Drosophila melanogaster: one gene and its partners. The protein of the gene in region 3 interacts with the protein of the main gene of each other region in a pairwise test. Each region holds a gene or a part of one and is shown on either strand. Other genes may lie near its edges.

Evidence for each region.
Region 1: the proteins of Fatp3 (region 3) and CG9632 interact in a two-hybrid assay, tested with the Drosophila melanogaster proteins (one large-scale study listed by BioGRID).
Region 2: the proteins of Fatp3 (region 3) and CG1418 interact in a two-hybrid assay, tested with the Drosophila melanogaster proteins (one large-scale study listed by BioGRID).
Region 4: the proteins of Fatp3 (region 3) and CG14410 interact in a two-hybrid assay, tested with the Drosophila melanogaster proteins (one large-scale study listed by BioGRID).

Annotation. Positions count from the first base shown.
Region 1 is NT_033777.3:15,855,580-15,863,289, reverse strand, and holds CG9632 (uncharacterized protein), read right to left. Parts: upstream 3,095-7,710; 5' UTR 2,943-3,094; coding exon 2,286-2,942; 3' UTR 1,812-2,285; downstream 1-1,811. Other genes in the region: CG31183 (uncharacterized protein), read left to right, coding at 1-306, 473-1,201, 1,355-1,519, 3,109-3,292, 3,351-4,959; Hmt-1 (heavy metal tolerance factor 1), read left to right, coding at 6,353-6,652, 6,708-6,907, 6,968-7,293, 7,357-7,710.
Region 2 is NT_033778.4:9,961,891-9,969,316, forward strand, and holds CG1418 (uncharacterized protein), read right to left. Parts: upstream 3,178-7,426; 5' UTR 2,827-3,177; coding exon 2,744-2,826; intron 2,692-2,743; coding exon 2,485-2,691; intron 2,432-2,484; coding exon 2,140-2,431; 3' UTR 1,945-2,139; downstream 1-1,944. Other genes in the region: Pal1 (Peptidyl-alpha-hydroxyglycine-alpha-amidating lyase 1), read left to right, coding at 1-172, 336-770, 1,308-1,477; CG12133 (uncharacterized protein), read left to right, coding at 5,375-5,922, 5,987-6,461; eIF3j (eukaryotic translation initiation factor 3 subunit j), read left to right, coding at 7,330-7,345.
Region 3 is NT_033778.4:24,290,540-24,301,046, reverse strand, and holds Fatp3 (fatty acid transport protein 3), read right to left. Parts: upstream 6,951-10,507; 5' UTR 6,827-6,950; coding exon 6,826-6,826; intron 6,817-6,825; exon of another isoform or gene 6,716-6,816; intron 5,649-6,715; exon of another isoform or gene 5,475-5,648; coding exon 5,198-5,474; intron 5,140-5,197; coding exon 3,663-5,139; intron 3,365-3,662; coding exon 3,056-3,364; 3' UTR 2,936-3,055; downstream 1-2,935.
Region 4 is NC_004354.4:14,830,949-14,837,972, reverse strand, and holds CG14410 (uncharacterized protein), read right to left. Parts: upstream 1,249-7,024; coding exon 643-1,248; downstream 1-642. Other genes in the region: Grx5 (glutaredoxin 5), read left to right, coding at 1-159, 220-410; CG14411 (uncharacterized protein), read right to left, coding at 2,188-4,719; CG14408 (uncharacterized protein), read left to right, coding at 6,191-6,232, 6,307-6,369, 6,463-6,881.

The DNA of each region.
Region 1 (7,710 bases), on a different chromosome or scaffold from region 3:
TCCGTGAGGATCCGACCATGCTCACACGGCCCATCAACGGCACCGACATGGTGCGTCGCATGTGGAATCGCAGCTTCACTGGCATCACCGGCAATGTGACCATCGATGCCAACGGCGACCGGCTTTCGGCCTACTCACTGCTGGACATGAATCCCACCACCGGCCGATTCGAGATCGTGGCCCATTTCCTGCACAATCGCCTGGAGTTCGAGGCCAACAAGGAGATCCATTGGGCGGGCGACCGGGAGGAGGCGCCGCCAGATCGACCCATTTGCGGCTACGATGGCGCCCTATGCCCCGATAATTGTAAGTATACTTACTGCAAATTATATAATAATAATATAATTAATGTGGTTTATGATATGAAATTCGGCCTGTTGAAAGATACAAGACACAAAAGTCAGGATTGAACATTCTCGTTGAAAACTCTTGAATACAGATATGGTAACCCGATGTATGTGTCTAATTTCAGCACTTCCTGGGTATGCAATCCTGTCAATAGTCCTGGGCACCATGGTGGTCGTAATGGCCGTGTGTTTCTTCTTCGGCTATCGTCACTACATCGCCGAGGCGGAGATTAACTCGATGAGCTGGAAGGTGTCGCTGGAGGATGTGATGTTCCGAGATGCAGCGGAGCGTGGCCTGAGAGGCTCCTTCCATTCGCTGGTCAAGCAAAGCTCCCAGCTGACACTGATGTCCGAGGACATGGTGTCCATTAACGGAGATCGCCAAATCTTCATACCAGTGGGCATGTTCCGCAAGAGCAAAGTGGCCATCAAGCCAGTGGAGGTGGACAACGTTCAGGGCCTGCTGACTCGCAGCTTAATGCTGGAACTGAAACGGATGAAGGACTTGCAGCACGACCACTTGGTCAAGTTCTATGGCGCGTGTTTGGATCAGAGGCGTAGTTTCCTGCTCACCGAATACTGTCCCAAGGGCTCGTTGCAGGATATCCTCGAGAACGAGCAGTTCCAGCTGGACTGGATGTTCCGCCTGTCGCTGATGCACGACATCGTGCGTGGAATGCAGTTTCTACACAGCTCCGACATTCGGTCTCACGGCAACCTGAAGTCCTCGAACTGCGTGGTCGACTCCCGATTTGTGCTCAAGATCACCGACTTTGGATTGCACACCCTGCGGCGGACGAGATTCGACCTGGAAAGTGATGGGGGCAACTGCAATAGCCACGCCTACTGGAGCAGTAAGTAGTCCCAGTTTGCTACTGTGTGCAGTGCACTGAACAAAAAGTTAATTGAATGCAGCAAGAATTTCCTTGTAAATTTTTTTATTTAATATTATTTTCCAAGTTTCGAAATATATTTTAAATATATATGTAACTTATTTTCCCGTACAGAGCTCTTGTGGACAGCCCCCGAACTGCTGAGAGTGGAGCACAATCGTCCGCCGGAGGGCACACAGAAGGGTGATGTCTACGCCTTTGGAATCATTGTGCACGAGATAACCACGCGACAAGGACCCTTCTACCTGGGCAGATGTGCGTACGAGAAATCGCCACAAGGTATGCTATTCAAGTGTTTCACATTCTATACCCTCCTCTCGTCCTTCGAGTGTCCTTTTCACTTGGCCGTTTCGTGTTGCGGCCGATTTTGTCTGTGCGGAATTTTAATGCCAGATTTTTGCACATGTTGCGGTTATTTCGCCCGTCAGTTGGCCACTCGGCTGGTGGTTAAGGCGGTTGTGGTTGGAGGAGCAAGGAGGAGCACTGCAAAATACGCAGTCGAAATAGTGAAAGCCCGTGTCCAATGCCAATATTTTTGTATAATCTTAAACAGGGTAAACATTAAAAAATTAGTTGGATGCTGAAATTTAATTCACTCAAATCATTTTATAAACGAACTTAAAAGACCAAATTAAGTAGTCAGCGAAATGTTCTGCTAATAAAAATGTACCAAAATAGGAGCCTTCGGCTTAGCAATTCTATTTAATTAAAGATCCTGCATCAAGCACGAAACCCAAAGTACTTGTATTTTGAAGTATGTATGTTGCTAGCCTTTATGATGTTCTATCTTCCTGGTTGAAGTACACATTGCCCTGTTGAACCGCAGACCAACTTCGAGTTCCGCGCCGATTTCAAAAACTTTGCCTTCTACTTGGCACTTGACGATTTCATCAAATTAGGCCGTGACTGGGAATCAGACTCGTCCTTAGGCCGCAGAATGCAACTTTGGCATCTGGCACTAGACGACGTCTGTAGGCGAATTTAATTGCGGTGCCAGCGAATCTGGAAATCGAAATCAAAGTGCTGGCTGGTCGAAAAAGGCAAATCACGAACTCTCTCTGCGGTGGGGCACGTCCTGGCAGCTGGAATCGTTGGCGAGGTTCAAGCCGCATCCGAAGGGCAGGAAGGCCCAGCAGCCGGGTAGCTTCCTCTTGGTCCTGGTCTTCTTCTTGTGCTTGTCCTTCTCTCTACCGCCGGCTTGGTTCTGGTTTTTGTTGTGTTTCTCGCATGGCGTGTTCTTTATTGGGGATTTTCCGCATTCCTTCTCCTTCTTGCTGGACTTCATACCTGCGTTGATGCTGGCATCGGGTCCGGGTGTTTCCTGCCACGCCTGGTAGCACTGCCTCCGCTGAACCTCCAGCTTGCGCAGCCACTCGATGCGTGATCTTTCCCAGCCTCTGTGCGAAATGGTGGAAGGTGGTGTTTTCTCCCTGCACCCGAACACCACCTCAATATCGGTCGGTTCTGATGGATTCCGGTTGTCCATGCCGCCGCACTGCCTTCTCTTGAGCTTCTTTTTCGGACCACTGGTCATGTTCCACAGGAGATCAGCCATTTGGGCCTTGCTCAGCGATTGCCGGCGATTGCAGATGAGCTGCAGCAGGATCTCGTGCTGGTTGCAAGGCCTCATTTCCTGGGGTTTCGGAGGCTTTGCATGTGCAAAGAAGCTGACCAAGTCCAGATATTCCATTCCCGTGCTCATATTGCGGAACGGTGTTTAGATGTCCGAATTCGGAATCCACCAAAGGATCCAGTCTGGTGTTAACATAAAACTGCACTTAACACGAATAATTTACATAACATGTTTACACAAAACTATTTCCAAATTGAAGGCTAATTCAACGTTATTTTGTTTGTCGTACGATCAGAAATAATCGAACTCGTGAAGGGATACAATCCTCATAGAATGCAGAAACCATTCCGTCCTGAACTTGAACCAAACGGTGATACCAAGGCGGACATCAATGGCATAATCCGTCGCTGCTGGGCAGAGGATCCTGCCGAGCGTCCGGACTTTAATACCCTGAAATCGATGATACGCAGATTTAATAAGTAAGTACTAACTGAATCCATAGTTATGGATTCCTCACTAACTTTGACTGCTTTACAGAGACAACGAGACGGGAAACATTGTAGACAATCTGCTGAAGCGCATGGAACTGTATGCCAACAATCTGGAGGAACTGGTGGAGGAGCGCACCCAGGACTACCACGAGGAGAAAAAGAAGTGCGAGAAGCTGCTGTACCAATTGCTGCCGCAAAGCGTCGCCGCCCAGCTCATCAGCGGACAGCCAGTGGTGGCGGAGACCTTTGACCAGGTGACCATATACTTCAGTGACATCGTGGGCTTCACTGCCATCTCGGCGGAGAGCACGCCCATGCAGGTGGTGCAGTTCCTGAACGACCTGTACACCTGTTTCGATTCCATTGTGGAGAACTTTGATGTTTACAAAGTGGAGACCATTGGAGATGCGTACATGGTTGTGTCCGGACTGCCCATTCGAAATGGCAATCAGCACGCCCGGGAGATCGCCCGTTTGGCACTGGCCCTCTTGGAGGCGGTGCACAATTTCCGCATCCACCATCGTCCGGAGGATCGGTTGAAGCTAAGGATAGGCCTGCACACCGGTGCCTGTGTGGCCGGAGTGGTGGGCCTGAAGATGCCACGCTACTGTCTGTTTGGTGACACTGTGAACACTGCCTCCCGAATGGAGTCCAATGGTGAAGCGCTCAAGATCCACATAAGTGAGACCACAAAGGAGGCGCTCGACGAGTTCGGCACCTTTGTGACCACACGCCGCGGATTTGTGCCCATGAAGGGCAAAGGTGAGATGCTGACCTACTGGCTGGAGGGCGAGGTACCCCGCCCCAACTCCCTGATCTCGCCCAGCAAGCTGATGCTCACGCGTCGCTCCTCACTGAAACAACCGCAGCGCAGCCAATCGCATAATCTTCACAAGCAGTACTCCGAACTAGTGGTGGCCTCGCCACCACCCCAGTTACCGCCACCTGCGATCGCTCTGCCACCGCCACCGTCGCCGTCCAAGGATTCGCCCAATCTCCGCGTGAAACGCAAGATCAGCTCCAGTTCACCCAAGCTGAATGGCGGCGGCTTTGACTATCACAAGACTGAGAACCACTATCTGGATACGGCGGCGGCTGCCCAGAGGAACTGCGACATCTACAGCAGCCGCAGTCTGAGGGACATGGAGGAAACCTCCGATAGCTGGGAGCTGGCACACTTCCGGCTGCCGCTGAGCGGAGCACTCAAGAGCCACCATCACCTCAATAACAATAGCCACGGCTATGTGCACTCGAATTCCAGCTCCAATCTGAGCGGTATCCTGCAGCCGCCGCCACTGGGTGTCCAACGCACCCGGCTGAAGCCCTCGCCCACGATCTCAACGCTGCTGACAAGCGCCAGGAGTGAGGCCAATGCCTCCCCAGGCCCCGAAACGGGCAGCATGGGCAGTGGGCAGCTGAGGATCAAGTTTGCTGAAGGAGACGAGACCCCACTGCTGCCCACACCGCCGCCGCTGGCTGCTCCTCCACCGATTCCACAGATGGTGGCCGCCAGTCCGCAACGGAGCGGCAGTGGCCAGAACATTCCGGCGGACAGCAGCCACTACGGCTTCCTGGTGAAGAGCTACAAGCAGCAGTGCCCACCGGTGGCGGGCAGTGCCGTCACCCAGCCACTGCTGGCCAAGATCAACTCATAGCTGTATGGGGGGGAGTCGACTCCCTCTTCACTGTAATCATATGCATATTAAATGTACTTGTTTGTGATAATAAGTTAAACCCAAGTTGAACAAGTTAGTGGTTAGTCAATAGTCGACCGAATCAAATTCGAAATTCGTACGGGAAATCTTCTAAAATGTTTCCTAGGTTTTAATCGCCCCATCCCCTTACTCATAAGTAGCGAATTTTATATTTAACCAAACCTCAAATTAAACAAAAATAAAAACAAAAAAGGCAACTCTAGATGTAAATAGAAACTTACTCCCAATCAATTTGTTCCTTGTGCTTTGAATATTCATTCTCTACAAACTCAAAAACTTAGCTTAGTTATTACCTAAGGTTAAGCGTAGACAATTTGTGAAAATTTCTTGAATGTAAAGTATTAGATGAACATTGAATATTTATTTTGAGAATTGACGAATAAAGAAATCTATATAATCTGTATATTTTACCCGCAGTATGTCGAAATAGGGTTTTAAAAACAAGGAATATTGAAATAATCACAATTTCTGATAAGATGGTGTGTTGAAAACCAGGAATGGTAAAGTAATCGCAAATTCTGATAAGAAAATGGTTTGAAAACTGGGCGCCAAGCTGAAAACCAGGGCTGAAAGCTAGCGTGACCGTTTCCAGAAAATTTGTTACCTTCAATTTGATAAGAGAATTACTTTAAACCTTTGATAGCTTAAAATTAAATCACTTAAACAAACTCTCCCTGAATTTATTATAGCAATCGAAAATGTTATATATTAAGCTATGTTCATTTAAATGAATCTCACCTGTTTCCACTGTACAATGTGTATGTGGTATGTTGTGTGTAAGCAGAAACGGCCATACCGAACCCTTGGGTCAAAATTATTTATGTTGATCGTAGTTGGTGGTGATTGGGTCGGAGTTGCCCGCCAGTTGTCCATTAGTTGAGTTATCACCTGTCACACGACTGATTGCGGTGTTTCCACCAGATCGCGACTTCTTATAGCGGGTAAGAGGGGAGCACTAGACCCGCCGGCGAATCGAGCATACGCAACATTGCATAATTTAGCATATCCAATGGGCTGGATGAGTTGCAGTTTCCACGGTTGCCGGACTCCAGGGTATTTCGGATCTCTTGGTGCCGTGCTGCAAGGGCACCAATTATCAATTCACAATCTGCACTCCGCTTACCCGGAGGAAAAAAATAGTGATTTCCCCTTTGGGGGCGTCTGATAATTTGGGTGAATAATTGCGAAATTGCCGCCAGCCCATAAAACAAAGCAATTGTGTTCACCGAGCTGTTTCCCAGTGACAGCTCCACTTTATCTGGCACGTTTCTATCAGAGCTTATCGTTCCGCAATTGCCTTTCCTCGTCGCCGCGCAGGTACACCGACTTCACCATGCTGTACTGCCCGCCCAACGTGACCCTCAGCGAGGTGTGGACGCAGCATGGCATCTCGCATTGCTTCATGGACACCGTGGGACCGGCGGTATACGGTGGATTCCTTCTGCTCTTCGGCAGCATTCAGTTGCTGATGTACCGGAAGTATGCCACCAGGATTACGGATCCCACGCAAATCTCCAAGTCACGACTGTTCGCGATGCAACTCTTTCTGTTGCTCCTGCTCCCGGTTTTGGCTCTATTGCGGTTTCTGATGAATGCACGTATTTATCCAGATAGTGCGGTGTACGGCTATATGGTAAGTATGAAAATGATCAAGAAGAAACAATTACTGATCGAAATCTTTTCTGCAGATCTTCTCCACTTGCGTTGTGTGCTTCTCCTACCCGTTCAGCATCTGTTTGATACTCAAGGAGCGCTACTACCAGCTGCCCTCAATGCCCACCCGAGGACATGGACTTGTTCTATTGCTATTCTGGACGTTGGCTTTCATTAACGAGTCGCTGGCCTTCATAAATTTGCGCCACGAGGACTGGTGGTTCCACCTAAAAACGTAAGTAATGCAAACGGCTGTAAAACGGATAATCTATAGTACCGCCTTTACTACTCGCAGGAACAAGGATCAAATTGAGATGGGCTTGTTTGTCACCCGGTTCCTGTGCTCCCTGCTCATCTTCGTTTTGGGTCTGAAAGCTCCTGGCATCATGGCCCCGTACAATCCACATCAGCGGCTGGACAATGATACCGCCAACGAATCGCAGGGAAACGTGCAGACAGGATCTGCTTTCAGGAACGGATGGCGCAAGCTGCGCACCGTCTTTCCGTACCTCTGGCCTAAAAAGAATATTGCTCTGCAGATAGCCGTCATCGTTTGCATTATACTGCTGCTTGCCGGTCGAGTCATAAAGCTGTTTTTGCCGATTTATCGCAAGAAGTTGGGTAGGTCAAGAATTATGAACGTAATTCGTTAAGTAATTCATTGCTAATCTCCTGTTTCGACAGTTGACAGTCTTACCATTGCACCGATCGTCTTTCGCTGGGACTTTGTGCTGATCTATGTGGCATTGTCCTTCCTCCAGGGTGGCGGCACTGGTAGCATGGGATTATTTAATAACCTTCGCACCTTCCTCTGGATACGGGTTCAACAGTACACGACCCGGGAGATCGAGATTGAGCTGTTCCGGCATCTGCACCAGCTTTCGCTTAGATGGCACTTGCAACGCAAAACGGGAGAGGTGTTGCGTGTCATGGATCGCGGCACGGACTCGATCAACAACCTCCTCAACTATATTGTCTTCTCGATCGCACCAACCATTCTCGATCTACTCGTTGCCGTGGCATACTTTGTTTACGCCT
Region 2 (7,426 bases), about 14 Mb from region 3:
GCGATTCCCCACGCTCTGACTCTCGTCCCGGAGTTGCAGTTACTCTGCGCAGCTGATAGGGAGAATGGGCGCGTACAGTGCTTCCTCTCGAGCAACGGCACCTTTCACTCACAGTACCACAACCAGCTGATAGGGGACCGCCTCTTCAGCATGGCTTACACCCCGGCAGCGGGTGAGTGGATAAATCTTCTTCTGGTATCGGTGTTCATGAGGTGTCATAAGAACCTTTCGACGGTTAAGCATCTATTTAAAATGTTGCATTATCATTCACATTACCATAACAGAGCATCTTTTGTACAAATCTCAACCCTAAATGTATTCATTTTCCGCTACAGGTGGGCAGCTGGTCATTGTCAACGGACCAACCGCCGAGTTAGGCATCCATCCTGAGCATTATAACGAGGTGCACGGTTTCGTGCTAAGCATGCGCAGCAAGCAACTGGTGTCTAAGTTCGGCCCCAATAACCTGCAGTTCCAGAACCCGCACGACGTGGCCGTTACAGCCGACGGCAATGAGATCTACGTGGCCGAGCTGAATCCAATGCGTATCCACAAGTTCGTCCACCGATCTCTGGCCAAGCCAATGTCCTTGTCGGCCAGCAAGGACTCTAGGGACAGCGCTATTAGCCAAGCTGTGGGAGGGGACCAGGTTCCCGCAGTGGCTGTGCACCACCCGAGCGGCAAAGCAATCCTGGTGGCTTCGCTCATGCTCCTTTTCGCCGGCTCTACCTTTGCCTTGGCTTTGATCTTTGCGCGGCGGAGGAAACGAGGTAACCAAGCGAACAGCTCCGCTACGCCCAGTGACTTGGTGTACCGAAAGCTGACTGCTTCCACCCAGAGTCTTGGCTGATCGGTAGTGCTAACTCCTCACTCAATGTCCTGTGTTGTGCTGTCACACTTAACTGATTTAGTGTCCTGTACTTATAAGCTCCAACCTGTTTACATTTGTATCCACAATTGAATCTCCCTATTTACGCTTTTTTTGGTGTCGTTAATTACACAGCATGTCCACTTCTTGTGTGTTCTGTATTCGTTGGCTTACTTTTCGTTCAACTTTATTGTAATTAAAATTTATACCGCATTTATATACAAATTATATACAACTTTTTATACAAAATACATAAGCATACAAACAAAATTTACGTTTATCCTTAAGTGTATTCTGTTTTCGTTTTTGGTTTGTTCCAGTGCACGCCAGATCGCAGATCTATGCATGAACTAAGAAGGGAATGGGGTGACTAGTGTTATTGCTCATATAAATCCCATGGTAATTGTTAGTTAATCAGTTGTACCAACATATCCCACAGGTTGCCTGCCTTTCGGAGCACGCGGTCGTCGCCACGCGTGGGAGAAAAGCGATGGCTTCAAGCTGGGCGGACTTCTCGATCGGGATCGCAACGGATTCGAGAAGCTGGACCAGCAGGCCAGCGACGAGGAGCAGGAGACGAAGACACTGGCGAGTGCCCAGTACGCCTAGGCGAAGGACCAAGACTTACGCAGCTAACAAAGCATTCCTAGTTCTAACTACCTGTACCTCATTGAAATACCGACTTAGTTTTACGCGAGCTATGTATATGTGTGTACTTTAGGTAACTTTATTTACCTTCCTTGTGGTGCATATCGCAGAGAATTCCGATCGTGGTGTATTTCTAGTTGATTTATTGAGCCGTTTGTTCAATGTATTTTAAACAGCTTATTTATGGAAACTTCTTTTGGAGAACCGACTATGCGATTTTTTTCCGGTTACTTATATTTATTCTTTATTTAAAAGAATACATTTTTAAAACGCATGCCTCTAAAGAGCTCGAAAATATCTGAAATATTGTAAGTGCCACAGAGTCCAATGACTTGACCACATCCTTTAAATTAATTTTTTTTTTCGAATTAAATCGAAGTTCTCAGCGAATGCGCCTCATATATTGCGATTAATTTGCCAAAAAGAATATAGTCGTATGAATCTGTCATAGTGTGTATTTCGATTATTTAAAGTCTGCGGCTTAACTAGATTTCGTTATAAATAGGTGTACAACATATTGTGTCGACTTGCAAGGCCCCATAGTGGCGAATATGTTTAGCCCCTTTCCTCGTCCCTGGTTGCCACGATCCCAGAAGACCTAGGGTTTAGCTTCTGGCTGGCGGTCAGACAACCTGGGCGAGGAAACCCTCATTCTCCTCCGTTACAATAGCATCGATGTTGTAGAATATAGCATGCATAGCAATCACGAAGCATGAAGCACCCAGCGTCCAAAACAAAACCGCACCCGCGCCCACCAGGAATAGCACTGGTGCCGTCGCCAGATTGAGTGCGATGATCTGCTGGCTGGGCGTCAGTTGTTGTCCCACGATGGTAATGTTACTGTTGCGCACGCGCAGCTTATGGCAGCCAAAAGCGGAAGCCAGGATGACCAGCAGAATGCAGGGAGCCGTGATGCTTAAGATTATAACTATTAAATGGGGTGCAATAAGGTTTTTAGAATCACTTACAGGCAGTATATCATCAGTACAAAAAAGATGAAAACGTAGTTGGCCTGAAAATAGGAGAGATTCCGAATAACCCGGCTATTTAGCCGCTGCATGCTGATGGCCGTTTTGAAATTGTTGATGTTGAAGAAGACTACCCAGGGCCGCAGGGAGTTTCGGACCATTTGGAAGATCTGCAGCGGTGATGGCAGGTTGGATAGCGAGGGCAGGCTGCAGGGTTCAAGAGTAATTAGCTATTCGCTCCTTGTTACGGTTTACTCACCTTTGCATGTCCACGGAGAACCTGCCTCCGGAAGGCGGTGGCGGCTGCATGTTACCGGATAGGTTCCCGCCAGTGTGTGCCATTTTGCTTGTGCTTTCCCAACCTCGTCCTAACACTTATCTTAGATACACGTCTTCGCTGCAATCTACAATTCTTCTTTCGACAAGTGTGGGCGTTCCACAAGTGTTATGTGTATCTTTGGATTCGTTCCACTTGGTCCAAGAACTGTCTTGAGGATGCTGCGGCGTTTGTAAAGCGGCGAGGACTTTAGCGGGGTCACTTCTACATGGAGGCGGCAACACTTTCGATGTTGATTTTACGATTCACTCTTAATTTGCTATGACATCGTTTTCTTTTGAGAAACAGTATACAAAGTTTGAAAAATCTGATGTGGCAGATAGTTCTAGGATTGCCGTTGCCGTGACGTGCGGTGTGGCCAGAGTTGCGAGTGCGCAAATTCTCGAAATCAACTGAAAACAAATCCAAAGCGCTGAATGCAATCAAACATTTAATACAAAACTTTTTCTCTAAACATTTGAATTATTTTTTAATGATATTTTTACACAAAACAATTATATTTTTCTACCTATTACTCGTGTAGTAGATGGTTATACTAGATTCGTTTAAAAATGTATATATTTTTGATATCCTTGTCTATTAACTTGAACTATTAAAGCTAGAAAGTTAAGATTAGAAATTCAGTTTCTTTCTGATGATGCAACGCCACAATTTAAAAAAATGAATCGATTTTTTTTCATTTTATTACTTGTCTTGCCAATTTCTAGAGCTATGCCAAAAACCTTTTACCACGCCCATTTTAACACTGAAATCTGCTACGTCTTCACTTTTATGTGTAGACATTTTTTAATTTTACTATTTGTTATCAGTATGGCAAAAGATATGTTGGATGCGCCCAAACCAAACCAAACCCACACTTTTAAAAAGTTACTTGCCTATTTTTCATCTTATTATTTTTTTTTCCAATTTGTATAGATAAGCCAAAATGAATGTTGAACTTTTCCACCAGCTGAGTAATTGGTATCTGATAGTCGAGGAACTGGACTATATAGTTCTCTCTGCTTAAAAATGTTTTCATCACAGAATTACTTATTATTTCTTTTAACAAGGCCAAACAAAGCAAACATATTAAGCAATTCTTTTAATTTCCTTTTATATAAGTAGGCGTAACGAAAGAAATTTTAAGAGTCTGCGTTGCTTTACAAGTAACAGGTAAGAATCGCGCTGATATTTTAAATATTTTTTGAACAATTTATTTGACGGATAACACAACATCCATTAAATTTTTCTCAGGTCTTCTGGCTAATACATACATATCTTATATTTCTTGTATCTTGTATACACACTCAGGTTAAATGTTACATTTCTATTTACATTTACCAACAAAGAGTTTTAGAAGTTAAGAGAGTTTTCATTTGCATTACCATTATGAATATAGACTATATAATAAAAGTTCTAACTTAGATATATTTACAGATATGGATTTTTGACGTCATAACATATTGCTGGTGTGACACAAGTGATAAGTATTTTTTCACAGTTCCGGTATGAATCAGATTTTTGATTTTAACTTAAAAAAATTGTGTCTTGAAATATTCAGAATGGATTTATATTTGTTTACGGAGATGGAAATTGATTATCATCTTTTTGTTCAACGGTATTTTGGGATTGTGGAGAAAGTAAAAAATAAATCTCGTTCTAGTCACGCGGTATCAGGGTGATGGTGTCCTTCATTTCCAAAAAACCTGTGAATGTATTCGAGTGTTGCGACTGTTAGATACCTGTTACTCAGTTTATGAACCTGCAACATATGGATATGTAGAATTTGAATAATTTGGCGTGTAGCAAGGATATAGCTCTGATCAATCTATTACTACAGTTTTGATATGTTTAAAAGTAGTAGGATTTGAACGTTTCCTGGTATCCAGAAGACTTTTAGGATGTGAGCGTTTTAGGAGTTTAGGGCGTAACAGGGGCGTGGCACGGTTTTAAAGAAAACTTACATGCTTCCTTACTCTTAATGTTTCCGACATCTCGACATTCATACGGACGGACAGGCAGGCCATTATAATTAACCCAAGGAAAGTTGTGGATTGGACATCGTGCCATGAATCATTTTAGCAATCGAGATAAGCTTGAACTTTTAAGACCAACTGGCTTTTGAATTCAGTATTCGGTTAGGCTTTGACATTTCAAGATGGTCTCGATCCATTTTTATTTGGCACTTTTGCTTCAAGCGATTTCCTTGGCGAATTCTTTCCAATTTGGTAAATAGTGGCAACTACAATACAATATACATATCTACAATTTCATCGGATCAGTGTCAGTGTTAAATATATACTTTGGCAGCTCACGGATCTATTTTTGGTCTCAACAATAATTAATACCTTATAATTACAAAATTGGAACTTCATTGGGTTGATTTCGCTACACAAAACTATAGTCTTACCAGGAAAATGCAATCTTTAATAGGATTTCATACAGTGTTACAAATGCTATTTTCGGCCATTTTGAGCTCCATTAATTGGTCAATTTTTGTTACCCCCCTTAGCAAAATTCAATTTTTGCCGACTAGACGAGATTTGCATCCCACTGAGCAAATGTGAACCTCTTATGAAGATTCTACATCCCCGGAACATGACAAACGATCAAAAATCACAGTACCGGAACAAACTATGCAACATTAATCCTTTTGCCCACGAGCTAGTGCACATGGTTTTTACCTGCTGCCCGATGGTTGCAGGGGATAAACTACCAGATAGCAGGGTCTGCGGACAGAGTCCTCCTTCGTCATATATCGTAGGCGGCATGGAGGCACAGTCCAACCAGTTTCCCTGGACAGTCCTGCTGGGTTACGAAGCCTACACAGCAAAGCAGCGACCGTCTCCCATGTGTGCGGGCTCCTTGATCGCCAGTCGCTATGTGCTGACGGCAGCCCATTGTTTGAATGTGAATGACTTCTACGTGGCACGTGTGCGCCTGGGCGAGCATGACACCGAGAACGATCCCGACTACACCTGGCTGCCGAATGGAGCCAAGATATGGGCTCCAGCGCACGTGGACATCGATGTGGATCTGAGGGTTCCGCACGAGCAGTACTACACGAGAAATGGAAGACACTACAACGACATTGCTCTGTTGCGTCTGAAGAGTCGGGTGAAGTAAGTAGTGTGCTCTTTGGGGTTCCCTCTTTTCACATTTTCCCATCGATGTCCTCTCTTTCAGATACACTCTTCAGATCAGACCCATTTGCATTTGGCCTGGCATTGAATTGTCAACTTCCTCCTTCAAAAACTTCCCTTTTCAAATTGCCGGCTGGGGCGATTCGGGTCTGCAGCAAAAAAGCACCGTACTTCGCCAAGGCACCATCAGTGGAATGAGTCCGGATGAATGCTTGAATCGGTATCCAACACTGCTCGTCGATAAGGACATCCAGATATGTGCCATGGGATGGGATGGCACCGACACCGGACTGGGAGATTCCGGTAGCCCGCTGATGGCTTCGGTGGGCAGGGGTGCTGATCAATTTTATTACCTAGCCGGAATAACGTCCTACGGAGGGGGACCCTCCAGTTACGGATATGGGCCAGCGGTTTACACGAAAACTTCCTCATATTATGAGTGGATAAAGAAGAAAATCAATGATATCGCTGAAGATGAACGTAAAATGAAATACAAATCTGTAAGAATACCAATTTAATTTAACGTTATTAAAATGATACTTTTTATGCATGCAGAAATGGATGTTGTTCTTTGTTAACAAAATCGCCAAAACAGTCAAGTAAAGAAAGTACACAATTATCTTTAAAACCGTTCTTGGGACAAAAAGCCACATTTAACATGATTATGTTAAAAACAGATGTAACCATTGAGAATTGCAGACGTTTGACATAATTCACATTTTGCAAACAAATCCAGATCTTAACTAGACCAATTCTAACTCCAATAAGGATGACTTAGCCTCTCAATCGAAAGAATTCCTCGACTATAAGATAGCCTTAGTCAGCAATTGGGGAGTTCGAGGTATATAACGACACAGCTAGTTCTTCTTATCAAGAACATGCTTATGTATGTATATACTCTCTACTATATATAATTTATCGAGTCGAATCAATTTTCCTTATAACTCTAAGAGTAAGTTTCTTAGAACACCACGAAGAGGGAGATTTATCACGAATTTTTTTTGAAAAAAACTTGTAGGGTAACTCAAATCTTTAAAAACTTAAAGATTTCTTAACAAAGTTGACAAATTTGTGTTTGAAAATAAAATAAGCAATCTTACAATCAAGAAAGGAAAAAAATGAAAAATGAAATATTGTAGGGTAACAAATTTCAAATTGTCGATAACTTGATATCACCTTGGCCGCACTACGAATATTCGATGGCAACAGACTATCGGCGACGTTACCCACGCATTTTCCGCTAGTCGCGCCTTGGGCACACTACAGATCCACAGAAATTTGGTTTTGGAAAATTCCTGAAATCGCTGCCGAGGCTGGAAACAAGTCGATCCCAGCACCATCCCATCCAGAAGCACAAATCCCGCAAGCAAATAGGCAACCATTAACATGGCCGACGATTGGGGTAAGTTGCGATTGGCCTGGGCGGAAGAGTGGGCGGTGCGTCATCTGCACGGCGGACAATAAACGTGGTCTCCGTCGTTGT
Region 3 (10,507 bases):
ACAGCGGATTGGCCAGGACGAGCCAGCTGTGGGCCTTCAAAGTGAAATGGTGGCGGGTGAAATGGCTAAAATCCGGAGAATGCGACGCACACACGTGTGTCCTCTGCGTCCTGCGGTCCACTGGCTCTGCTGCAAGCTGTCACGTATTCCCTATCAACATGATTCGAGGTAAACTTTCCGTTCCTGGAATCCGGAATCCCGAAACCAGAATCCGACATCAATGCCGAGTTGAAATGAATAGGAAAAAGTTTTGGAGCGCCGGCAAAAGTAATTGCGTTACAAAATGCCAATGCGGATTGAGGCGCCCCCCGAAAGTATGCAGCACACCCGGCCAGCCGAATGCAGTTAATTACGAAACTGTCAAATCCAAAAGGTGCCACGAATCAAAAGGCTCACACATACACACCAGTGCACGGCAAGGCTGATGTGTGTGGCAAGGGGGAGTGGCACAAGCCAAATAGGCAGATCAGCCGACAAACAGCTGAAACCAGCCGAAATTCCGTATAAAAACAAACAAAAAGCACAAAAAACACACAAAGCCAGGGGCCGCATGTCGAGTGTGTGTGTTGCATTGTGCGAACTTTTGACGCTCCTGCACAAACACACGTTTGTGAAATATAATTTTGCCGCATTGTTGTATTAAATGATGTCAACAACAGCCGTCCAGCTGAGCTCCGGCTACCAATAGCAGCTCGAGTCTCCGGCAGTCGAGTCCCGACCAAATCGAATTTAATTGCATTGCCGCCGCACGTTGGCTTTTAATTAATTTTTGCTGCCTTCTGCTGCTGCTTCTGCTGCTGCAGCCCAGTCAGCGCCCCAAAAAGGCCAAAACCAAACAAGCTAAGCTCACACACACACACACACACTGGCTCTCTCCGGCCAACGGCCAACAACAAACACAAGCGACAGTCGAAGCTCGACAGGCCAACATCAAACGTCATGCACAGGTGCAATGTAATTAGCACGAACTGACAAAGCTCGCCAAGGACCCAGGCTAGAAAAGGGATGGGGACGGGGAGTGGCGATGGCGGTGGCAGTATGAAACATAAAAACAAAAGCAAGCAAAACCTTTAAGCCCAAATGCATACAAGCAGAAGCGGAGCGATCCAAACCAATTCAGCCAGTAGCAAGCAGCAGCAGCAACAACAGCAGCCACACCAAGTGCCACAAAAAGGAAAGGGCGAAAAGGATGTCGAGTAGTCAGATACCCTGTAATAAATGCAGATTCTAAGTTCTGTAAATAAGTTTTAAGTTTGATTATGCATATGCAATATGATTAATTCTTTTAGATCATTTGGTTTCCTTCCTACACAGAAGCTACCAACTAAAGGGAAACCTTTATTTTACAGCCAGCCCAGAAGTACGCAACACAAATTCATATTCCGCATGTGCACTTTCTCCGCCCGAAGATGGCCCATAAAAACGCTAGCCAAATCCGAGATTAAGTCGAGCAATCAATTTGGAATACCCCTCTTCGGAAAAGGGTAAGTGAATCGGGAGAAGGGCAGCAGCAGCAACAGCAGCAGCAGCGGAAAGGAAACGGAAACACTGGTGCCGTTTGGTCGTAGCTCCACTGGCAGCGTTTTAATAGCTTTGGAATTCCAATGGCAGCTGTGGCGCCGTCGCCGAGCTTCGGCCTCCACCGCCCATCGCCACCCATTGCCACCCACCACCCGTCTGTCCACCCGGAAGCCTTCTAAATGAGCCCAAAAAGGAGCAGGAGCAATGCCAGCAGCGAGCGACGTTCTTGTCGAACATTTCGAAAAATTATTGAGAAATTTTTAATTTTCCCACTTACGCAGCCCAGGCGCACGCGAAGTTACAACAACAGCAACAGGGGCAACTGGCAACAGCAGCAACAACACCACCGATGTTGCAGCAACAACTCCGATGTTGCCTGTTGGTGTCAGCTGCAATGGCTGTTTTTGTTGTTGCTTTTATTGTTATTAGCTATGCGAACGTATTCATGCACTTCTGCACCCACAACTGCCATTTTGTTTATGACATCGACGATGGCGTCGCGAAAAGGGCGCAGCGGGCGTGGCGCGGGGGGCGTGGCCGGGGAGTTCGGCAGCTGCTGCAGCTGCAACTTTATGTGTATTTTGGGCATCCGGCTTTTACATTGTGTATTGGAATCCCGGGATCCCTGCAAAACTGAAGTTTCCCCCAGTGCCGAAACAAGTGCTTGTGTCTTTCTAAACCTTTGTCGTTTGCCTTGTATGGCGGCCCAAGTAATCTTAATCAGGCATTATAGCATTATCTTAAAAGCACATTCCAGGACCCTAAAAAGCTTGCATATATTCCAAGTGAAATATCATACCAATTACGATCCAGCGAAATCGAAAAGGACTCACTTTGAACTGAATGCAACAACTTTTAGCCATCCAAGAACCTTTGGCATCCCAGAAGCAGCGCGCCATCGCCATTTTCGCTCCCTTAAAAATGGCGCCCAGCTTTGTTTGCCATTTCTTCGTTTTTTATGATTGCCTGCCACAACTTTTTCGCCATCGACATCGACATCGATATTGGTGGCCGTCGACGATGTTGCGCTGCTGCGGTTGCAAGACCTTGCCTTCCTGCTCCTGCCATTGTTTTGTATGGATTTTGCACATCGTTTATCTTAGGCGACGGCCAACGAAGTCGCAGCTGCCGCAAGCGAGCGGAAATGGCGTTAATGTTGCAACAGCACAGCAGCAACTGTAAAAGTAGCAGCAGCAACAGCAGCAGCAACTGCAGCAGCTGCCAATGAGCGAGAACTTAATCTTGGGGATTTAACACTTTCGATATATCTTGTGGCGGTAGCAGCATCTTCTGGCCGTAAAACGTATTGGCTCCCATTATCGGTTAAGCTGCCATTTTATGGCCAAGAAACGCGCCCGGCATTTTGGGCCAGCAGCGAAAGAACTTTATCACTATTTCGGCATTTAGGTATTTTGGTCTTTCGGAATCAGTCGTTGTTTAAGCGTTAAAAATACATTGGGACAGACAAGCGTTTTGCAATATACACAGAGGATTGGCTGGAATACAATTGTGGGCGCAAAAGGGACCTCTATCCTCAGAGTCCCGCCTTTCCCGATCGCAGCAACTCGTGCTGCTCCTGACTGAGTGGTCTGTAGATACCGTCCCGATTCAGGTAGTATATGGGATCTGAGAGCTGGCCGATGTCATACGCCTCTTTGGCCAACTCCCGTTTCTTCAGCTTGAAGGTGGCGGTGCGCGGAATCTCGTCCAGCAGTCGGATGAACAGGGGGCGAGCGTACGGAGGCAAACTGCCCCGCAGCACCACGGACAGGTAATCCATGTCCACCTTGCGCTCCGGATCCACAATCGCCGCCATTCCCGCCTTGCCCTCCACATGGGGGATCTGCAAAGATATGCGGGCCGATAGTGAAAATCAAGGTTTGCGGCTTGTGGTTTCAGGTGGTTTGTTATCTACATGGCACAACCCAGAAACCCAGTGACTAAGAGCGACATGGGTAGTTCCCTCAGCTACACTGAAACAATAGTTATATATGCGATCTATAAACACATTTCAGATTGCTATTAAACGGTAATTAAAGCCAGATTCCATTCTTTCTTGCTGACCACCATTTGATGATAAGGTATCAATTATTTATGATGCAAACTTAAATAAAAAGAAATCGGAAATATCTGAAACTCACCTGCACGCCATAGACCACGCAGTCCTCCAAGCCAACACAGTTCGTGATAATGGCCTCCACTTCCTGGGTGGCGACGTTTTCACCCCGCCAGCGGAAGGTGTCTCCCGTGCGATCCTTGAAGTAAAAGTAACCGAGTATGTCTCGCACCACCATGTCGCCCGAGTTAAAGAAGACGTCTCCGGATGTGAAGACATTTCGAAGGAGCTTCTGCTCCGAGGCTCCCTTATCGGCGTATCCATGGAAGGCACTCACGGCCCGCCGAGCGTCCACCTTGCCCACCAGGAGACCCGCTTGCCCAGGCTGACACCTGATGCAGTGACCCTTGGAGTCCTTGAGCAGCTCACCCGTGTACTCGTCGCACCGCAGGACTTGAACAGGGTAGAGGCTCGATCCGTAGACGGGAACAAATCCGATGGCCCCCACTCGGTTGGTGATGTTGATCAGGTTGGAGTTTCCCTCGGTGGCGCCGTAAATTTCTCCTATGTGCGGAATACCGAAGCGACGGACGAACTGCGACCAGATCTGTGGCCTCAGTCCATTTCCGTACATCAGACGCAGGTTGTGCTTCTGCTGATCGGGGGAGTAGGAGGTGGCCAGAAGATAGCGACACAGCTCCCCGATATACTGGGCCACAGTGCAGTTGTGGCGATCGCAGTCAAGCCAGAAGTTCCTGGCCGAGAACTTTTTGCGCAGCACCACCGTGGATCCATTGAGGATGGCATTGCCCACTCCCACAATTCCACCAGCGGTGTGGTAGAGGGGAAGGGGATCGTACACCACATCGTCGCTGGACATCTTGAGCATGTAGTAGGATCCTGCAGACATGAAGAGGAACCGCAGGTTGGTGATCACAGCTGCTTTGGGCAAGCCCGTAGTTCCAGAGGTGTAAACGTAGAGCAATTTGGAACGAGCTTCTCCAGGACAGACAGCACTCGGTAGCTCCAGTTTCTTTTGGGTCTTTAGAGCAGTAACCAAGTCCACAGCTCCTGGCAAAAGATCATGTCCAGCCACCCCGCGAACCTCGTCATCTGTGTACTGATAGATGGGCACCTCGTCCAACTGCTCCTTCTCCCTAAGTGATACCAGCACATCCAGGAGTTCACTGCCCACAATTAGGGCCTTGGCATTGGCCACTTTGATGGAGTGCAGCAGAGACTCCCCGCGCAGATTGGAGTTAATAAGGGCTGTGATTACCCCGAGCTGGGAGAGACCCAACCAAATGCAGGGATACTCCAGACGCGTTTCCATTAGTAGGGCCACACAGTCGCCCCTCTCCAGGCCGCGATCGCTAAAATATCCAGCTATCTTTTGGCTAAACTCCAGAGCCTCTGCAAAGCTTAAATGGCGATCGTCCATCACGAAGCATGTCTTTTTGGGGCGGCGTCTGGCCTGGTCCTGGAAACAGCGGGCCACAGTGAATCCGCCGCGATCCTTTCTTAGCAGGTAGATGTTGAGGGCCACGAATCGCTGGAAAGCCCTAAAAGAGAACGGAAGTTGGGGGGTTTCTCCGCGAAATTAGCCACTCAAATACCCACTTTAGGTCCCTGGACGCGGTCATTACCAAGGCAAAGACGAAGGTGGGATTTCTGAGCAGGAGAGCCACCACTGCTCCCAGTGTTAGACTGGCCAACGCGTTGTCCCAGCAAAAGGCGCCGAAGATCACTGTGGCCAGCAGGATGGTGCCTAGTCGGGTGGCCAGCTTCTGCTTTAGGTTTAGTTCCAGCAGGATCTCCATTTTCCTGCCGCCAGCCTGCTCCTGATTCTGATCCTGATCCTGATCCTCCAGATCGGGACGCTTCTCGTTCTCGCTCACTTCAAAGGGCAGGGGGTGAAAGCAAACATGATCGAAACAGTTAGTCAGATATTGCTCAATCGTACGGATATGATTAGTGACAGCTAGGGAATGGCCAAATAGAGCACTTTGTGGATGCCACCCTTCCGATTTCAGTTCCACTTGTGCCTAGGGCAACCGCCTGCGAGTAACTGAGTGATAAGCGCACCATAGTGCTGTCTGATACCGATTTACTACATGGCTTGTGGGCCGCAAGTTCTTATCAGCCGCCATGAGCAGTTGGATGGTGTGGTTTAGGAGGGGCTGTGGGGGAGTGACAAGTGCTTAGGCTGTGAAAATCCCCTTCATGCACTCAAAACATTTATTCGGACCCAAGTGGAGCAGTGGCAATTGAGTACGGGGTCTAAATTTTATTTTAAAAACTGGCATGGAAAGCCAGATGTCCCCACCTATTGTAGTCATTACACTACCCTCTGTCTATGATGATGACTACAGCTTATTTAAGCCAATATAAAAAGGGGCATAAAAAATATTATCTAGTGATCTCGTTAGGGAAAAACGGCTAATTACTTTTACATCATTATTAAAGCGTTTTATGTGGGAAAACGGCTAATTATTTCAACAAACATCTACGACCCAAGTGAATGTTTTTATTACGGCGACATTATATATATCAACAGAAAGTGCAGCCTTAAACCTTTGCGCATGGAAATTTTTCGAGTCTCTAGGTGAATAATCTTTCATTAAACTGTGCGATTTCATAGATTGGTCGGCTCGCTAAGTGGACCCCTCTGAGTGGGCAATCGGTCGATAAAACCGCGCCAGACATTGAACCTGCCCTGGTGCGAGCAGCAGAACTGAACTCAACTGATATCGCGGCGTCTGTTGCTCTTTGTTGTGCCGGCTTATCGCGAAGCGCCAACAATGGAAAGGTGGTCGGAACACTTGTTAATAATGCAGTTACGTTTTGCACAGGGGAATAATTGGCGAGGTAATGTAATCGGAGCCCATGGGGCCCACATGGGTTAAGGAAGCTATCAAGTGACGTGCCGGCTTCAAAGTTCATTGCTACCCGCGATTATGGATGGGAAATGGGCGCTATCTCTATAAGTCGCCAGTATGACTTATGTTCTGGCGTCTTCTTATGCTGAAGACCTTGACTTATTTCGTATGCCAGTCACAGAGTTTTCCCAAACGCTTCTGCGCACACGCAGTTCTTGGCACAGGTTTTGGTTGGTTGGTTGATTGGTTGGTTGGCTGGTAGACGGGTAGGCCAAACGATTTACATGGCTCGGCGACATTTTCCATTCCCATGTCACGATCAATGTAATTCACTTTTCAATGCCAGTGCAGCGCCCCCAAGTGACATACTTTTTATTCGCACGATCAGAACGGTTACTGGCACGGAAAATTAGAACACATAGGTAAAGATATAGCTGCAGTTGCGGCACGACTGATCTGTTCACCCGACGTCGGATCGGAGAAATAACTGCTGCTGCGGTGGGGACCCGGTTTTTATAGCCACAGACATTCGCGTTGGAGAGCGGCAGAGAGCAATAGAACCACAAAAGAGTGAGGAAAATGAGAGGAGAGCTATGTACGAACAGCCTCCAAAACTCAGTGAAGAACTTGATGATGATGATGATGATGATCATTATAGGAGATCGCTTAACGGCTGTTAAGTTTACAGATCGCTGTTAGCTTTCACAATCAATCTGATGGAATAATTAATGACAAACCCCATTTCATCGCAACTATATACAGAAAGAAGTAATTCAAATAATAAGTTGATAATAGCTTTCTACGTAACAAGTGGAAACTGCTAATTTATAGCACCCGGCAATCCAAATCTCTCGGAGAGGCAAAGTTTGGCCGTTCTACTTAGCAGCTGGCCTTTCCACCTGTTACAGCGATTCGAAATTTTTTAATTAAGATTTTTTATTCGCCAACAAAAACAGAGGCGGAAAGTAATTTCCCCCCTTCCCGACGCACATGCAAACAAAAAGCAAATGCTGTGTGAAAATAAATTAACATAGGGCAGCGTCGCTTAGCTGTCAAATGCCGGCAGCACAAATATAAAAAATATGTGCATACTTTCGGACGGCGCATATAAAAAATGTGCGCACACTTTTTGGCAGCTTTTTGAGTTATCGACGGTGTGAGAGCGAAACTAAGTGAGCGCATATGCGTGTGTGGGTGTGTGCTGGACGTGCCGGCTGCTCCTGTTCCTCCCGCTCGCTCTCTGTGTGTGTGCGTGTGTGCCAGTGTGCGAGTGTGTGGGTGTGGGCGCCTGTAATTGACACATGTTACGCGCACAAAAGAGCCTGCGACCCGGGGCTCAGTCCATCGTTATTATCGACAATGGCGCCGCCGAAAACACACACCCACACACACACAGGGCTTCCTTCGTGCCTCCATGTCAGATGCCTTTGCTGCACAGCCTTCAAATGCAGGCTCGCAGACACGCAAACTGGCAGCCTCAGTCAACTTTGTTTGTAGCCGGCGAAAACAAAAACACACACACACACTCGCAATGGAGAGGCCCAGGAGCAGGCAAGAAGAAAGCTTAGGGTGGCGACTGAAAGGTACCCTGTACACTAACCTACGAAATTCGTTTTCATTGTAAGAATCCACTTCACATATCACAGCTAGAGCTTTATAAGTAAATGAATCTACGTTTGGTGAATGGGTAGAAGTAGTTACTTTTTATTAGCCATTTTTTTGCACCCTCGCAAAGAGTTCAGAGCTTCGAGCATGCCCTCCTGATCCTGCATTGCTGGGTATGAAAACAGACCCACACAATTTCACCGGCACAGCCGCTTGCTGATAACGTTAACGTCAGCTGTGCGGCACTTTGGGCCACACGTGAGTCCTGGGTCTGGTTCAGGGCCAAAAGAGCTTGGCCAGGGGGGCGGTGGGCGGTGGGCGCTGTTCGGTGGGCCGAAGTCGTGCGCAGGCAAGCGTCAAACGGTTTGTACCTTAAGCCCCCAGGCGACGGCATCCCTGCTGCCCCTCGCCCCGTGCATTTGGCATTTGTTTGTGTTGTCAACAAAAGTTTCTTTGAAATCAGTAACAGATGTCGATTGAAATGGCACAATTGCTGCCAGCTCGGCTGCTCGGCAGCTCGGCAGCTCGGCAGCTCTGCTATGTCGAGCATCACTGGGTGGCCGCCACTTATGCTGAATATTTTTATGCCAGACGCACACACAAGAGGGCCAGGCCAAGATATCCGGCGATTGGGATTGGAGCGGGCTCATTGTGCGCTAGTTGCCTGTCACATTTTAATTAAAATTTCAGCACCCAAGTTTTAATGTTAATGCATTGGCATCGATTGGAGCTGCGAAACAATAGAAGAGGCCCGTGGGCTGTTTAGCAATCCAGGGTGTGGGCAATGTACCCCACTCCAGTTGCGTTCGTGGAATTTGGAGTTTTGAGAGATTAACAGGCCCTTCTTTCCTAAGCAGTGCAAGCTAAGCCCAAGTCGGTCGAGAAGTGTACTTGGTCCTTGTTTTTCGAAAGCGAAGAATCCTACTCTCAATAGATTTAGAAACGAACTCGTATCTTCTACCATTCAGTCACTCACTCTGCAGACTCAGCCTGGCTCGATTATATAATTAAGGGATTTGCAGGGCATCCGGAGGACTGTCATCCCTCCTCACTTCGCTGCCAGTTGACAAGCTGCTTCTGTGGGAGCTTGGCTTGTGGCTGCTGGCGATAACAAACGATAACTGCATGTTAAATAGAAGCTAACGAAGGCTGGCCGGCACCGGCACCGGCACAAAGGGGTAATCGAGTGGCTGCGAACGGGGACTGGCAATCCCCGGGAGATGGAAATGGTAGTACATGCCAGCTGGACGTGCAGCCATTCGAATGTGCATGTGAATCCCACTCGCAACCGGAAGTGGTGGTGGCACTGGATGAAGAGGGTGGTGAGCGGAGTGGAGCTGTGCTTTAGGAAATCACTCAGGTAGCAAATGCCACCGTCATCATCATTGTTGTTGGCTGAAGGGTTGCAAAAAAGCGCACAGCATCCAGACAAAGGCGAAGCCAAGGCAAGCTGCTGCCCCTCTGCGAATGTCTGTTTGTGTATGTGTGTGAGTGGGTGGCTAGCCGCACGCCGTGTGTGTGCGTGTGCAACAAATGTTGTGGGCGTCCTTGGAATGAAGGAAGGAAGGGAGCAAGGGGATGAGCCGGGTGCGGGCGGAGCGGGGGACTAACGAGCTTTTGCTTGCTCGCTTGCAATGCGACAGCAGCAGGTGTGCCATACATGCACACACACACAGGCGCAGATACTCACCATGGCGCTCACACAGATACTCACACCGACACGGAGCACACAGCTGAGTGACGATAATTGAAATTTCATCACAGTAGTTTGTGGTTTTGTAGCACACTCTGAGGCGCACACCCGCCTCACACTAATGCGCTTTTCATGGCCTTCTTTTAGGCTGCCAATCGAAATGTTATTTTCTAATTCGAATTTGGAAATGGGAATCGAGACTTCGTTTGGTTTAAAACACTTTATTTCTTGGGTTTCTTTTGCCGGAGCCTTGCAGCAGCCCGCGTTTGTGGGTTTAACATTTACTTGGTATTTGTTTATGATAAAAGTACATTTAGGTTTAGTTTAGGGAGTACAATAAATACTAATCAATAAATTAAACTCGCTCAATAAATTAGCCATAATCGTAATCATATCCGTAGTAATATACTGTATTGTATTAATAAAATCTACTATGTTCAGTTTTTGTTTTTACTCGCTTTGGGTTGCTTACTCACAGAATTTGACTGCTTCTCAAGTTCTGATTTAAATGATTTAGCTTGCTTATGTAATTCATTATTAGTGTGCACATATTGTTATTAATTATTATTTATGTATTTCGAGTGTGAAAGTGCTGATGGTAAAAATGCGATTTCATACATTAAGTCACAGGTTGAGAATTGCTGGATAAATTCCGTAAAATGTTTTGTGAGTGAGAGTAATTAATATTGGTTTCTTCTATGGATTTTCAACCCATTTAATTCAACCCGCTCAATACCATGGACATCTTGAAAC
Region 4 (7,024 bases), on a different chromosome or scaffold from region 3:
TGGACAAGCTGGTGCGCACCAACAAGGTGGTCGTCTTCATGAAGGGCAACCCACAGGCGCCACGCTGCGGCTTCAGCAATGCGGTGGTGCAGATTATGCGGATGCACGGTGTCCAGTACGATGCCCACGATGTGCTGCAAAACGAGTCCCTGCGACAGGGTGAGTACGCTCCACATATGCATTAGCGTGCCAGCGTTAAACCTTATTGCTTGCGTGCAGGTGTCAAGGACTACACCGACTGGCCGACCATTCCGCAGGTGTTCATCAATGGCGAATTTGTCGGCGGTTGCGACATCCTGCTGCAGATGCACCAGAGCGGCGATCTCATCGAGGAGCTCAAGAAGGCGGGCATCATTTCGGAGCTGCTGAAAGCGGAGGAGGCTAAGCAGCAGGACGACAAGGCTAAGTGATGATTCAAAAAGAGCGCCCAAAGATCAAATTCCCTTCCTAAATCTGTTAGTCACGCAACGTTTTTATTATTAAATGTTTAACTCATAACGACAATGGTGTGCGTTGTTCCGTGTGATTTAAATGGCAGCCAATGGCATATAATCGCAGGCGCTCATTTATGATTGTGATTAAGATATAGCAGGCTTTGTAAAAGTACCATTATAATGTAAGCAAGCATTCTATAGGATGAATTCAGTTGCGCGTCCTGCGCCTCTCGTCGATTTGCTGCAGGAGGCATAGGATTCGACTGCGTGCCTGCAGAGCATCGTCCACCTGCAAGAGGGAAAAGCACTGTTGTCGATGCTGCGGATTAGTCATATTCACCAGGATCTCCATCAGGTTGTCGGCTATGGAGTGGCGCATCGTTTCCTCCGATGGCATTGGTGGAATCACGCGACTTGGACGAGTTGGAGTCGATTGAGCGGGATTTCTAAGTGGCAACTGATTCCCGACGTACTGCTCTTCATTGGGATACTCATCAGTTTGCTTTTCCAGATCCTTTGGTACCTGATTTTCCATCTCAATATCTTGGTTCTCATTTAGAAGCATTTTCTGATTAATCTTTAAATATTCTGAATTGTCGAGTTTATCTGCAGTCTTTGCATCCTTTTCTGCTTTTAAAATGCGGTTGTTTGCCAGATTCTCAACTTTAACTTCCATTATTTCATGCTTTAAGTCCAAATATTTATCATTTCTTGTTGATAGCTTCTTATTTTGAGATTCATGATTCCGTTCTGTAATTATAATGATTTTCATTGTGTAATCCTTTATGTCCTTGAACGTATTTGTATTACCCATTTCGCTGAGTGTTTAATCTAGTTTCTCGTGCCAATAATAAATTATAATAATAGCATATTTATAAATTCATTATAACTTCTATGTGCTATGATTATAACTGAAAGTCCAAGCGAACTATAAAATGAAATCATAAATAAAAATCGGGAATTAAACAGTTATTTATCGAAGCTTGTAATTATGTTAACCCTTATATGGCTCCTTTTTTTTAAATTATAAAATCTTAAACTTTTTATTGAGTTACATTAAGAACCCAAAATTATTCAGAATAGCAAACACAAATCGTTTCGAAAGCCAAACTGTTAGTCAATTATTTTATCTTTTCAATTATCCAACTATCCACTTCAATTTAAAATCATAAGCTTACATATTAATGCGATTTTTTTTGCTGACTCACCCATATATATTCATAGTTCCTAATTCGTTTAATTCTCAAAAGTTGCCGCAATCAGAACACATTTTGTTGATTTTACACATTTGATTTATTTAAATATACATATCGATCAATAGTCTTTCATATATTTAGTTACATACAATATAATACATATTGATTTAATTGGTGTTTTCGTACGTTTTCGTTTTTGCGGATTTGTGTTTTGAATTCGTTTTACATCAATTGCTTGTCGTTACGTTTGTTAATCGTATTATTTACGTTTAATTTTATAATGCAGCGATGCAATGCAGTTTGGTGGTAGTAAAACGAAATAAAAAAAAACTTATACCATAACTTGCTTATTAGTTAACAATAATCAAAAGTGTTAAAAGCGATATGCCATGTATATGTGAGGAAATTGCACCTCTGTGTGTGTGTGTGTGTGTGTGTTTTTTCTTCTTCTTCTCAAATTATATTCTGTTTTTTGTGTAATACTTCGAAAGTTCAGCGTTTTGAATAAACAAGTGGAACGAGTGTGTGTGTGGTGGTGTCTCCGATTTGTGTGCGGATCAGACAATGGACGACTTGTCCAGAAAGGATGAGGTCTCCATCAGCAGCTCGCTGCTGCTGCTCAGAATGTCGTACAGCTGGAGCGGTGCATCTCCGGCGATGGGATTCCCGAAGGGAAAGAACGACGACAGGGTCGATAGCTGCAGATTGCCGGTAACCGATGTGAGTCCGCTAGTGGGTGTGGCGGCCTTCGCCGTCGGCTTCCTGCGCCGCTCCACACCGTCGACGAACTCGGCCTCGTCCTCCTTGTCGGGCTTCTCGTCCTTGTGCTGATTGGGACGCGATTCGCCGGCGAACTCGTAATACGCATCGGGTAGATCGTCAAAGTTTTGATAATCCAGGCAGCGCTGTACCTTTGCTATGTTGCTCAGCAGCAGGCGATGATAGAGATCCACCTGCGGCTGGCCGCCGCCGCGTATATCCAAAATGGGCAGCCAGCGGTAGTAGCACTGATCCCACACCTGCAGATCGAAGATGCGATGTGCCGGCTGCAGGTAACGATCCTGCGGCACTGACGAAGCGGTCGCAAAGAGCTGCGGATTGATGGTGTTGCGCGAGGGTGTGACACCACTAGCGGCGCCATGCGCTCCCTTACTACCCACCGCCAGGGATCTGCGATGCGCCACGGCAGCCGCCTGGGCGCCAAGATCGCCCCTTTGGCGCTGGTACAGCGGATTGCTAAAGAACATTTTGTCCTTGTCCGAGAACTGCTCGCCCCAATCCCAAACGGGACGCAGGACGAGCTGCGAGTCGGTCACCGCCTTCAGTCGCTGGGCCTGCGTATCGAACTGGAAGGTATCGAAGATGGGCATGAAGCACGAGTCCCACAGCGTGGTCAGGTATGTCTGCGTGAACTCGAACTCGTCGGGGAACTGCTGCAACAGCTGCCACACGCAATCGAGGAAGAGCAGAAACACTGGACTCTGTTCGCTGTCGAATAGTTCGGCATTACCGCCGGCCGGCTGGGCAGGATAGACATGACCCAGGCGTCGCTGAAACGGATGCTCCAGGGCCACCCACTCCTTCTGCACCAGCGATTGGAAGCCATCGATAGTACGGAAATGCGGATCGAGCAATAGCTGCGCCAGACTGCTAATCACACAGCAGAGATCACGGCCATTCGACTCCTGGAGGACACAGGTAACGCCGCTGCGCAGCGTGGCAGACGCTTCACTAGCATAGCGTAGGCACAACGACACATAGAACAGCCAGTTGGTCTTTTCGAGTAGTCCCAGGTACTTGTCATCCTGCAGCATAAACTTCTCCGGCGTTTCCGGCGTGCATAGGCGCCTCAGCTTCTGATAGGCGCGCAGCACATCCTGAATGCTCGGCAGGCGATCCGTCAGCTGTAGGAGCTTCAGCTGTCGCCCCGCATCACATTTGCGCACCAGCTCCAGCATCACATTCTCCGATTTGGTGTCCTGCTGCGCAGCCGGCTGCAGTTCAGCTAATCTGACCAGTGCCGCGCTGCTCCCATAGCTATACACCCAGAAGGCAGCTCGTGAATCGCAGAAGGCGCGCGACAGATCCAGGAATCGATCCACGCTGCAGCTCTTCGGTATGACAAAATGCGGCGGCACAGTGTACTTGCCCGCCTGGAGGGGATTCTGCAGCAGCTGGACACTGGCACAGCTAACCACCTGCCACTCGGTGGCGCCGCAGCGTATCAGCTCTCTGGCCCAGTCGTTTTTCGTCGCATACATACTAGTGCCGGATGCGCCCAGTGTCGAATAGTATGGCTCTCGATGAGCATAGGCGAAGCTCAGATCATGCCGCATTGGATAAGCGAAACGCACCAGGGCCGAGGCAATCAGTTTGCCCTGATCACTGGCCCCAAACATCTTCGAATCCTGCTGCTGGAAGGCGAATTTCAGCAGGCGAAAGTTCTTGCACACGATATGCAGGGCGGCGATGCGACCGCTGATGTTCTGCTGCTTGAAGGGCTCCAGTTTTTTGCGCCTGCTCATGCCCGCATGGCTGGCCATGCCTCGCGCCGCCTGCAGCGCACTGGCCGCCCGTCCCAGCTCGGTAATGGTATAGATATGATCGATGTTGTTTAGCGTAATCTCATTGCGGCCCAAATAGGTATTCTCCTGATATAGATCGATCAGTGGCGCTGTGATCGCTTGATTACGCTTTTCATGCAGCGGCACAAAGGCCAGCTTAAAATTGGTGACACTCAACAGTCCGAAGGTGGCCTCTTTGTGATGACGATCCGCTGGCGTACCGGACGCAGATGATATGGCGCTGAGCGTAGAGCCACTGCCTCCGCTGCTGTCCATCGGATCGATCGGTGAGTACATGTAGGCTGGTGCCGATGCCACTATCTGCTCGCCGTGCAGCAGTCGCGGCTTGGCCAGATGGACGTCCCTCAAATCGCTGGGCAGGCACCATTCGTTCGTGTCCGCTGTGGCGCGCAAATCTCCGGGTAGCGGTGCCACATAGCTGGTGAAGGTGTTGCGCTTGTGGTGGTCAGCATTTCCGGCGGATCCCGCTCCCCCGTGGCCGCTGCCACCGCCGCCCGTGGCCATTATTTAGTCGGTGGTACGTTGTTGGAATATTCAATTATTCACCACTTCCTGTCTGGCGGGGAGGGGGGGGGTGGGTGTCGGCGCTAGCTTTACCGTTATTCCGCTGCTGTCTGTGTGCCATGCAAGCAACGAAAGAAAGCGGAATTTGGAGCAAATGAATATATGACAAATGGAAACAGATGAGGTGACAAGTGGAGCAGCAAAACTCGAATTATCGAATCTTTTCCATTCACGTTATTTTCGAGGGGGGGGGGGGGGTGTGATAAGTTTTTATCAGTTGGAACGCAACTTACCGTTCGGATTACTACCTGTGTGTGCGTGTGTGTGCGAGCGATCGCCGTTTTGTTGTTGCCGCTGCCGCTGCTGCTGCTGCGGCTGTTGTCTCTGGATTTTGGATTTTGGTATTTCGGATTTCGAACTTCGAATGCGTTTCGAGCGGGGTCACTCGTTGTTGGGGTCATCCAAGTGCACCATCTGGCGCCTGCACACACGCACCGTCGCTCGCAATGTGCATTTATTTACTTATTTTTATTCGCGCACTTGGTCGCCACAATTCATACGACACACTGACACACACACGCACACACATGCACGCACATGACACTAGGTGCAATCGGTGCTGTGTGACCAGGCGCCGTCGATTCCAGTATTTCGTGAGCGCGTCAAGCAAACGGCGATGACTAAGCGTTGCTCGTGGAACGATGGAAAGTGAAAAGTGTGGCAGTTCTTTTTAATTTTAATTTGCTTTAGAATTTTACATTATTTTATTTATTTAGTTTTTCGTTTGGCGGTGAATTCGAATAAAATAAAAATGATTAATCTTACTATCTACCACGACTTAAGTTTATAGGACTCAAGAAGGTATATAAAATATGCAATTAAAAAGAATTGCAATTGAATAGACTACCTTAAAGGTAATTTCTTTAAGGACATTTCAGAAAATTTTATAGAATAATTATTCACAGTTTTTGAGATAATGGCATTACAGTGGGAACCGCCCATATTCTGAGTTCCAATCGCAAGTGAATAAAAGAAATTTGTTTGTTTTTATTTGATATCTCGTAATAATATATTCGTAATAACTGAGAAATTTTTTTTATTTACTTATCGATATTTGCCTAGGAATAGAAGATAACGATAGTTTCTACGCGCTTTGCAACGGTAAAAAGCAGCTGACCAGAGCTTTTTGCGCTTGCCAAACGCAAAAGCTCCGGAGCGTGTTGTCATAATTGTGTCTGCAAAAGCTCGCTTGATTCCATTCCACGATTGATTCGATTTGCTTTGCTTTTGCTATTCGCGATGTGCCGTGGAAAATGAATCGCATTCCCAGATGCAATTGACCCACTGAACGAGCCCGCTGCCCCGCTGCCCTGCTGCACTGCATCCATTACGGCAACTCCACGGTGAAATCCAGGCAAGACCCGAGAATCGACCACCCCAATCCCCCTCCCCCACAAATCAGCCAGGCACCATGTCAACGGAGAGCAACACGCCCGTGGATCCGAGGGTCCAGGTAGGTACCACCTACACACATACATACATACACCTACATATGCCAAACAACCTAATCCTCGGGAGCCCGCTTAGGTGGAGCTGGAGAAGCTGAACTCCGCCACGGACAACATCAACCGATACGAAGTGGAGCTCGATGTGAGTGGGCGAGTATTGATTTTTCCCCAGTTACCCCAGTTACTTACCATTATTGCTTGCGATCTCTGTCCCAAAACAAACCAAAAAAAAAAGGAGGCCAAGTGCGAATTCAAGCGTTTGCTGGCGGAAAGTGTGGTGAGAATCAAGGCAGCCGCCCACAAGCTGGGCAACTCGATTGATGCCGCCAAGCCGTACTACGAATCTCGCATCTACGCCGCCCAGTTGGCCAAGGAAACGCAATTGGCCGCCGCCAACCACGAGAAGGCCAAGTCCATTCATGCCGCCGCCAAGGAGATGGTCTACCTGGCCGAACAGGGTCTGGGCGAGAAGTCGACGCTGGACACCGCCTGCCAGGAGATGCTTAGCCACGCCGCCAGCAAGGTCAATCAGTCCCAGCTGGAGGTCACCGACACCCGCAATGCCCTCAAGATGTGCCAGCTGAAGCTCGAGGTGGCCAATAACCGGGTCGGCAAGCTCCAGGGTCAGCTTAAGCAAGCGCTTCGGGCATCCAGGTAAAGTTCATGGGGTTCCCTTCAAGGAATACTGCTTAAGAACCAAGAACCAGGTCACAGAAACCTCTTTCCACCGAAAGTCGAATGCTGGTGACCCAGAAACTCCATTCGATTTTGAATCAATTTGTTATAAAGAATTTAGA